Sus scrofa: one gene and its partner. The protein of the gene in region 1 purifies or fractionates together with the protein of each later gene. This does not show direct contact. Links are inferred from orthologs where the notes say so. Each region holds a gene or a part of one and is shown in the gene's direction. Other genes may lie near its edges.

The links. The genes of interacting proteins can lie anywhere in the genome.
Region 2: the proteins of TRMT6 (region 1) and TRMT61A purify together in Homo sapiens (affinity purification with mass spectrometry; 4 studies listed by BioGRID and IntAct, counting the BioPlex papers as one, with this or other methods). This does not show direct contact. The link is inferred for Sus scrofa from reciprocal best matches to the Homo sapiens genes TRMT6 and TRMT61A.

What each region holds. Positions count from the first base shown.
Region 1 is NC_010459.5:14,783,392-14,787,789, reverse strand, and holds part of TRMT6 (tRNA (adenine(58)-N(1))-methyltransferase non-catalytic subunit TRM6), read left to right. Parts: intron 1-192; coding exon 193-320; intron 321-2,210; coding exon 2,211-2,338; intron 2,339-2,880; coding exon 2,881-2,972; intron 2,973-3,100; coding exon 3,101-3,184; exon of another isoform or gene 3,185-3,305; intron 3,306-3,453; coding exon 3,454-3,578; intron 3,579-4,398. UniProt on the Homo sapiens protein: Substrate-binding subunit of tRNA (adenine-N(1)-)-methyltransferase, which catalyzes the formation of N(1)-methyladenine at position 58 (m1A58) in initiator methionyl-tRNA.
Region 2 is NW_018084979.1:2,077,090-2,082,104, forward strand, and holds the start of TRMT61A (tRNA (adenine(58)-N(1))-methyltransferase catalytic subunit TRMT61A), read left to right. Parts: upstream 1-1,852; 5' UTR 1,853-2,334; exon of another isoform or gene 2,335-2,510; intron 2,511-3,519; 5' UTR 3,520-3,546; coding exon 3,547-3,877; intron 3,878-5,015. UniProt on the Homo sapiens protein: Catalytic subunit of tRNA (adenine-N(1)-)-methyltransferase, which catalyzes the formation of N(1)-methyladenine at position 58 (m1A58) in initiator methionyl-tRNA.

The sequences.
Region 1 (4,398 bases):
TGTGGCTTCTTTGTTAATTTTATGTCTCTGCCCCAACTCAATTTTCTCTAGTTTGTTTTTTGGTTTATGGTTAGAGATAATGTTGCTGATCTTCCTTTGTGGAAACCAATTTTAAAATAAACTAGATTAAACATATCTTTCCAATACTGAATGCAAATGAGATTCAGCTAATTGACTGCATTTCTTCCCCAGAAAAGTAACTTTTGAAAAACAGTGGTTCTATCTGGATAACGTTATAGGCCATAATTATGGAACCACATTTGAAGTGACCAACGGAGGAATTCTTCAGCCGAAGAAGAAGAAGGAAGAGCCTACTTCAGGTGCACTATACCACTTAAGATGTATGAAACTGATGATCTTTTGAGCTGGCTACTCAGAAGTCTATCAACCCCATTTGGTTCTAAATTGCTAGCCATGATCTCCCCAAAGAAATCTAAACCCATCATCTAAGAACTGCAGCTTGGTAGAGTGAATTACTGATTTAGCCTTTGGCTAATTTTTTAGATACCTTTGAGATACCTGGGTTCTGGCTCCTTCCCACCATTAATCAGCTCTTGAACTTTGGGCCAGGCATTTACTCCCTTGAGTCTTTGCAGCTTCAGTGTAAGAGCAGATATATAGCCCTTTCAGTGCCTAGAAGAACAGCTTGTGAGGTAGTTGGCACATAGGGCGAAGGATAAGATGTCTGGCTTTGAATTCAATTGACTAGGTTTAAGTTCCATCTTCATCACTTGCCTTTGTAACCTTGAGCTAGTTATTTGGTTTCTCAGGTTCATCTTTGGAATGTATTCAAATTGCTCATCTTTAAAATAGGGCCATAAACACATCTAATGCCCAACCTGTAATGAGCGTTAAAATCACATGTACACATAGGAAGTTCTTGTTTTAAAACTTTTTTTTTTTTCTTTTTGCAGCCACACCTGTGGCATATGGAAGTTTCCAGGTCAAATAGTACCTGCAGCTGCCAGCCTCCGCCACAACCACAGCAATGCTAGATCTGAGCTACATCTGCAACCTACACCACAGCTTGAGGCAATGCCAGATCCTTAACCCACTGAGCAAGGCCAGGGATTGAACCTGCATCATCATGGATACAAGTCAAGGTCCTAACCCGCTGAGCCACAATAGGAACTCCCACATAGGAAGTGCTTAACAGTGCCTTGCCTGTTAAAGTAACAGCCCTGTAATTTTAGCTATCATTAATTAAAATTAAACCCTTAAACACTTATTAAAATAAGTGTACTTAAAATTTTTAAAACAATTATTACATTTAAATAGTTGGAGTACTATTGAAGTTCCAATTCAAGCCAGTTTATTAAATACTTTAAAATTAACATGCATATTTTTCTTAAGCACCAAATATATTCCAGGCATGACTAGCCACTGTGATGTTAGCAGTTCATGAGATGGACCATCCCATAAAATTTACCTAGCAGTGGGGAACATCAAAAGTAATCAAGTAGATTAGCAAACAGCGTAATGTCAGATGGTCATGTGTGCTATGAAGATGATAAAGCAGGGAGGTGTACTGAGGGCTGGTTGAATGAGGTGAGATTTGGCTGAGATGGTGAGGTCAGAGCTGAGTGATGGATAGGATCCACCCACTTGTCATAAGCGCCCTCTAGGCAGAGGGAACAGCAAGTGCCAAAGCCCTACATTGGGACCATGCTGGTGCGTCTAAGGAATAGAAAGAAGGGCAGTGTGGCTGAATACAGGGGTTAAGAAATAAGGCCTGAAAAAGTAGCCAGGGGCCAGATCATATACAAGCTTGCAAGTCATCTTTGGAATGTATTTGAATTGCTCTAGGAAGCCACTGTGTGGTTTTGTGCATTGGAATAGATGCACCGATTTGCATTTTAAGAAGAGGACTCTGGAACTTTCCCTGTGGCTCATAATGTAACTACTCACTATTGCATTGAGTTGTCTCTGCAAGGGCCCTAGTTCGATCCCTGCCTAGGAACTTCCATGTGCCACGGTAGCGGCCACGTGTTTAAAAAAGAGAGAGAGAACTTTGATGTCCAGATGGATTGTAAAGGGGCAAGAGTGGGAAAAGGAATATGAGAGGCTTAGAGTGGTCATGTCAAGAAAGGTAGTGGATTGGGGTGGGGGCACAACTGGAAGGCCAAATTTAAGTGGCTGATGGGCTGGATGTGGATATGAATGTAGAGGAAGAAAGATTTTTAAGTAATTTTAGATCATATGTGTTACAGAGCAATTTTCTTCCTTAGAGACCAAAGAAGCAGGCACTGATAATCGAAATATAATCGATGACGGGAAATCTCAGAAACTTACTCAAGATGACATAAAAGCTTTAAAGGACAAAGGCATTAAAGGAGAGGTAAAATTCAAAGGACTTTTTGTTTCGTTTGGATTTGGTTTTCAGGAAATTGCCTGGTTTTTAAAGCACACTTTTCCTAAGGTAAAATGTAAAAATACTGTACATTTCTGTTAAAAATAGCTTGGAATGTAAATGCAATTCAGTGTAACAAAGATTTTGTTTCTTACAGGTGGGAATATAAATGAAAATGACTTATTAATATTATTAACAAAAGGGAATTTGATAACTTATCAGAGCTTAACTTTGTTCATTTTCAGTAATGTTTTCAGCCAGTGTTTTCAGGACTGACAATTTCCTTTACCTCTTTCTCCCTTTATTGTGTATCTCTGTTTTACTTGGATTTATATGGAATTATGAACTACTTATATTTTAATACAAATTCTAGATAGAGTATAAAAATATAAAGTTCATCCACTTGGACTTCTGTGGAAAAGGGCCTGGAGATTCAGACCTTTGGATACAGTCTGGGGTAAGAAACCTTTGAAGTTACCTGTGCTGTGAAAATAAAATTTCAGGAAATCTACTTGCTCCCTTTCTCATAGGAAATAGTTCAACAATTAATTGAAAATAGTACAACATTCCGAGACAAGACAGAGTTTGCTCAAGATAAATATATAAAAAAGAAGAAAAAGAAGTAAGTAGTTTTTGTTTTGAAAGGATGAAAATATGAAATCTTCCTATAGGTTTATAAAATATATCATTAAAAAATAAATTGTTTTTAAAGCAGCTTTTCAAAATTGATGCCGTTTTTTCTTCCCCCAGATATGAAGCCATGATTACTATTGTGAAGCCATCCACCCGCATTCTTTCAGTTATGTATTATGCAAGAGAACCTGGAAAAATTAAGTACGCTTTGTTTCCTTTCAAAACTATAGTTGGGGGAAAATATGTCTTTAAGAAAGTCATGATTTTAAGTAAAATGAAAATCTTGCTCATCTGCATAAAGTGTCCTCCTACTTCATAAATTGTAAGTCCTGTTTTCCTATTGCTCCAAAGCAATCAGTAATCTTAACAACATAATTTTTATGAAACAAGCAAACCAAACTTGAAAAATGATGATTAAAAGAGCAGCCTTTGCTTACCTAAAAATGAATAAATCCTCCTTTTTTCCTTAGCCACATGAGATACGATACACTAGCCCAGATGTTGACATTGGGAAATATCCGTGCTGGCAATAAAATGATTGTGATGGAAACATGCGCAGGCTTGGTGCTGGGTGCGATGATGGAACGCATGGGAGGTGAGATTTAATGTTTTCAAGTTCGTTAAAACCCCACTGTGATTTGAGTAGAGGGGTCTTAAATTCAAAGTCATGGAAAGCGAGGTTGAGTTGCTGTTAATGAGAAGTTAGTGAAACGATTTGGCTGTGCCTGCACAGCTCCAGACTCTGAGACTTTCTACACTTTCCACATCTCCCAGCCTGAGCTGTGTTGGCAACACAGTGTCCTTTCCAGCTTCTGTATCGGTGGGGATGGTTCTGAGCCTGTTTCTGACTAGTACCTCTATTTAGTAAACTCTAAGACAGCTGGTATTCATTTTTTTTTTTTTTTTTTTTAACCCATATTGAAGGGTTTGGGTGGGAAGAAAATTACGGAAGTATTTTGTCCTGAAAGAGTACCATATAGCCTGATTTGTCTGCCCTTTCTCTGACTCTTTTGAAGATAAGATGTTTTTTTTTAGGGCCGCATCTACAGTATATGGAAATTACCAGGCTAGCGGTTGAATTGGAGCTGTAGCTGCCAGCCACAACCACAGCCATACCAGATTCAAGCCACATCTGTGACCTATACCACAGCTTGTGGCCATGATAGATCCTTAACCCATTGAGCGAGGCCAAGGATGGAAACCACATTCTCAAGAATACTAGTCGGCTTCTTAACCTGCTGAGCCACAGCAGGAACTCCAAAGATAAGAATTTTTGCTTTTTGTTTTTTAGGGCTGCACCTTCGGCACATGGAAGTTCCCAGGCTAGGGGTTGAATCGGAGCTGCAGCTACTGGCCTACACCACAGTCACAGCAATGCCAGATCTGAACCACGTCTGCAACCTGCACCATAGCTC
Region 2 (5,015 bases), on another chromosome or scaffold:
TGCAGGTGCCCTGCCCCTGAATTCCGCACAACGCACAGGGGAAGCTGGTTGGGGTCAGAAAGGGGCAGGGACTGCCTTGTGGTCACAGAGCATGTTGGGGCAGAAGGCTGAGCTGTTCAGAGTAGAGGGACCTTGGGTCACCTGATCACTGCCTGAGACGCAGGAGCGGAGCAGCCTCCCTCTGTCAGCATCCTCAGCCTCTCCCTTCCCTCCAGGGCCTTCTTCCTGCCTGTTCCCACATTTCTTCAGATCCACCACTGGTTCTCCGAAGCCAAGTTTGCTGGCTTTAAATCCCAAGCCCACGCTGGCCACTTTGGCTGCGTGACCTTAGACAAGTTTCTTGACCTCCCTGAATCTCATGCTCCCCATCTGTGAGGTGGTCCCACCCTCAGAGGCTTGTGAGGAGGATTCAAGGTGATGACACTTAATTGGGCTTATATAGCATTGGTTCTTTTTTTTTTTTTGTCTTTTTGCCATTTCTTGGGCCGCTCCCGCGGCATATGGAGGTTCCCAGGCTAGGGGTTGAATTGGAGCCGTAGCCACTGGCCTACGCCAGAGCCACAACAACGCGGGATCCGAGCCACATCTGCAACCTACACCACAGCTCACGGCAACGCCGGATCCTTAACCCACTGAGCAAGGGCAGGGATCGAACCCGCCACCTCATGGTTCCTAGTCGGATTTGTTAACCACTGCGCCACGACGGAAACTCCTAGCATTGGTTCTTTTTATTTTTTTCCCTGGTCATGTGTATGACATAGCGGAAGTTCCTGGGCCAGAGGTCAAACCTAAGCCACATCAGTGCCCCGAGCCCCTGCAGTGACAATGACAGATCCTTAGCCCGTTGCGCCAAAAGACAACTGGAGCCTTAGTTCTTTTTAGGGGCCCCTTATACACAAATGCTGTCCTGAGTAAGGTGCTCAGGTCGACTCAGGCTGAGGCCAGGGGTAGGCTCAGATTGGGGAGATGGAGCCCTCGGAGGGCTGCCTGGAGGAGAGAGCAATGGAGGAACAGGCCTGCCAGTCACGGAAGGAGAGGCAAGTGGGAAGCTGGGACCACAGGAAACCACTGGCGAGTCACCAAGTCACTGAGTCCTAATTTAGGCTCTCAGGCATTTAGCCTCTGAGAAGCAAGAGGCTGGAGAAGAGGAACCCCCACACCAAGTGGAAAGTTGAGATCTCCCAGGGGCGTAATTAGGGGCTGATTCAGGCGGGAGCAGAGTCACATGGAACAAAGGCTGGCAAGCCCTAGAGTTGGGTTGTCTCAGTGCAGGACATGATGCATCCACGCAGGCAGCTGGTGGGCAGAGCACTGGCCTCGCAGAGAATGGAGGTCATCAAAGGCTCCTCATTGTCTTGCCCAAGACCCAGGCCCAAGTCAGGGCTGGGGCACAGAGGGGCTGAAACGACGCACTTGGGTCTTTGCCATGGACTCTGAGGTCCACAAACACCCTTATCAGTCCTGGCCCCAGAGGGGGAGAGTTCAGAGGGCTCCACAAGTGGGCAGGGCCTGGCCACTCCCATTTATCCAGGATGGAGTGGCCTGGGCCAAGAAGTGTGGCCTAGCGTCATTGCTAGCTGGCCCTCGGTTAGGGCTCAGGCCCCACAGCAGCTGAGTGGGCTGCAGTCTCTATCCTTCTCTAGTCCTCAAGGCTAACAGGATAAGCCCTGGCCCGCAGGGACCAGAGTGCTGCGGGATCGGCCTCTGCACACTCTCCACAGAGGAACCGGCTCTGAATCAGCACTGCTGAGACAGAACCCGGCCGCCGCTTCCCTTTTCTGCCCCACCTCTCCAGCCACCACACTCCAACCCCACCCCCGCCCCCGCCTCCCCCGCTCCCCCCCTGCCCTGTTCTGATCCCAAGGTAAGCCCAGTTCATCCAGCGCTCATTGCACCGTGGGGACACAGAACTCCTTCCCTTCTTGAAGCAGCTTCTGCACTTGGAGAATGTGCCCCGAAGGGGAGGAACGCCAACTGCACCTCCGCAGCCCCTTCAAGGCCACCATCTCCTTCCTACTCCTCTGGCTGAGCCCGGCCAAAGCCTTCTGGACGACCCTCTGATCTGCGATCCCATTTTCTGGAATATATCCTGGGAGCCATTAAGAGGTGTCCCCAGGGCGGTTTGCAGGGACAAAACGGCCATGGCCAAGCGTCCCGCTAGGGGCTTGCGCAGCTAGCGGTGGGCCGGCCCTTCGGGGACTCCAGGGCTGTCCAAGGCTGCGAAGGGGACCCTGCCCGGATCTGAAAGGACCGCAGCAGCTCGGCGGCGGGACAGTGGGACTTCCCGTTTGTCTTCCGCAGGAGCAGCTAGAAACGCTGGAGAAACTCTGGGAGGTGCGCCCCGGACGGCGGCAAGGGGGGCCCGCGGGTCCCGGGAGCCCGCGCGCGAGGGGCGGGGCCGTGACGTCGTCAGCGGGCGCCGCGCGCCGGGCCGGAGCCGGAAGGGCTGTAGCCGCGGCGCGGAGCCACGTGTAGCGCCTCCGGGAGTCTCAACCCGAGGAACGTCGCCGGTGAGACTCCCCAGGGCTACGCTGGCAGTGCGCGGGTGGGGGGGTCGCCCTGGCGGGCGCGGCGCCCACGGCTCCCGGGCAGCCTCCCCTGGCCGCCCTCAGCGCCGTGCCAGCCTGGCCTGACCCTCCGCCTGCCTCTGCCCTGGCCAGGCCAGTGTTCTGTTTCCGTCCCGCTGCACATCCCCAACCTATGCTTGCACCGCTGTGCCACTCGTCTGCCCAGATGCCCGCCATGGGAATCTGCGGCATCGAGCCTGGCCTGGAGGTGACATCAAGGGCCATTTGCTGCTTCCCCCTAGATACTCTCTGGTTTCACAGCTGGGCAATGGGAACTCGGCTCCTGGAGAAGGGTGACTCCAGAGGACCAAGTCCTTTTTTTTTCCTGTGCCCATGGCGCGTAAAAGTTCCTTGGCAAGGGTTGGAACCAGTGCCACGGTAGTGACCCAAGTCCTGCAGAGACAACTGCCAGATCCTTAACTCACTGCAACACAAGAGAACTCCAAGGAGTTCCTGCTGTGATGCAAGAGGATGCGTGGTGTCTTGGGAGCCTGGGACCCTTGGTTCGATCCCCAGCGCAGTACAGTCAGTTAGGGATTTGGCATTGCTGCAGCTGCAGCTTAGGTCACAACTGTGGCTCAGATCTGAGCCCTGGCCTGGGAACTCCATGCGCCACGGGGCAACCGAAAATGGAAAAAACAAAAGAGAGCTCCAAGGGTCAAGTCGTTTCTTTGTGGGAATCCTTGGGCCTCTTCTCTGCCAGTGCCAGGCCTCAGTCTCTCCGTCTGTGATTTGGGCTGATGGCTTTTGTCTCATGCCCAGACCAAGAAGGGCTTCAATCGTCAGGCCAGGGTGCAGCCCTTTTGGGCTGCCCTAATGGACTGTGCCAGAGGCTGAGACAGCTACTCCACCCGCACTGCTCAGGAGCTGGGCCTCACCGTCTTCTGCGGGGACTTAAGGTACACATCCTGCCTCCTGTCGCCTTACATGTTCATGTCCACACACCTAACAGGTCCCTGGCACTTGCCAGACAGCAACCATGAGCTTTGTGGCGTACGAGGAGCTGATCAAAGAGGGTGACACAGCCATCCTGTCGCTGGGCCATGGTGCAATGGTGGCCGTACGTGTACAGCGTGGGGCCCAGACCCAGACCCGGCACGGCGTCCTGCGACACTCGGTAGACCTCATTGGCCGCCCGTTTGGCTCCAAGGTGACCTGCGGCCGTGGTGGCTGGGTGTATGTGCTGCACCCGACGCCCGAGCTCTGGACGCTGAACCTGCCGCACCGGACGCAGATCCTCTACTCCACTGACATCGCCCTGCTCACCATGATGCTGGAGCTTCGGCCTGGCTCTGTGGTCTGTGAGTCCGGTGAGTTCCTCAGGCCGCCTCGGCTCCTGAGGGTGAATGTCAGACCCAGTGTCCATCCAGCCTCTAGTCTGCGCTTCCTGAACACAGGCGTGACTCTTCACCCTCTATCTTCATGTATTTACTTATCTATTTCCTTTTGAGGGCCACACCTGAGGGCATATAGAAGCTCCTGGGCTGGGGATGGAATCAGAGCTGCAGCTGCCAGCCTATGCCACAGCCATGGCAGCACCGGTTCCTTACCCCACTGAGTGAGGGATAGAACCCACATCCTCACAGACAGGATGTCGGGTTCTTAATGCTCTGAGCCACAATGGGAGCTCCTCAACTTCTGTTTTGGTTTTGTTTTGGGTTTTTTTGTGTTTTTAGGGCCACACCCTGCGGCATATAGAGGTTCCCAGGCTAGGGCTCTAATAGGATCTGTAGCCTCCAGCCTATGCCAGAGCCACAGCAACGGGGGATCCGAGCCACATCTGCAGCCTACGCCACGGCTTATGGCAGTGCTGGATCCTCAACCAGCTGGGACCAGGGTTCGAACCCGCAACCTCATGGTTCCCAGTCAGATTCGTTAACCACTGAGCCATGACGGGGACTCCTCCACTTCTGTTTTAACAGGATCTTTCTCAGGGGCTGACTGCAGGGAGTGAGGGCAGGAGGAAGGAAGCCTGGGGGGAGGCTGGTGCTATAATCTGAGAATCGATGGAGCCGGATCAAGAATAATGTTGCCAAAACCCTCCCCCGCGAATCTCCATGTCCAAGTTTTGGGTGAAGAAGAAAAGAATAGCTTTATTGCTTTGCCAGATGAGGGGACACCGCTGCTGATGCCCCCAAAACAGTGTGTCCCCACCCACAGAGGTTTCAGTGAATTTTATGGCAGTGGCTCAGGGCAAGTTTGTGATAAGAATCAGGGTGTGTGCAGGGCCTGCATTCCTTTCATCCGGCCTCGGGGGTCTCCTGGTGAGCTTCTGTGGTTCTAAAGGTTATCAAACTGTGACCTCTCTGGAATGAAGGACGCTTTATCCGGTACTTAACCTTTTTCCTTTGTTGGAGTTTCAGTTCTGCCCAAGAGCTCAAAGGTGCTGTTATGTGAATCAGTGTCCAGGAGCCGCACAGGGTCCTGCTGGGTTTCAGCAGCCCTCCG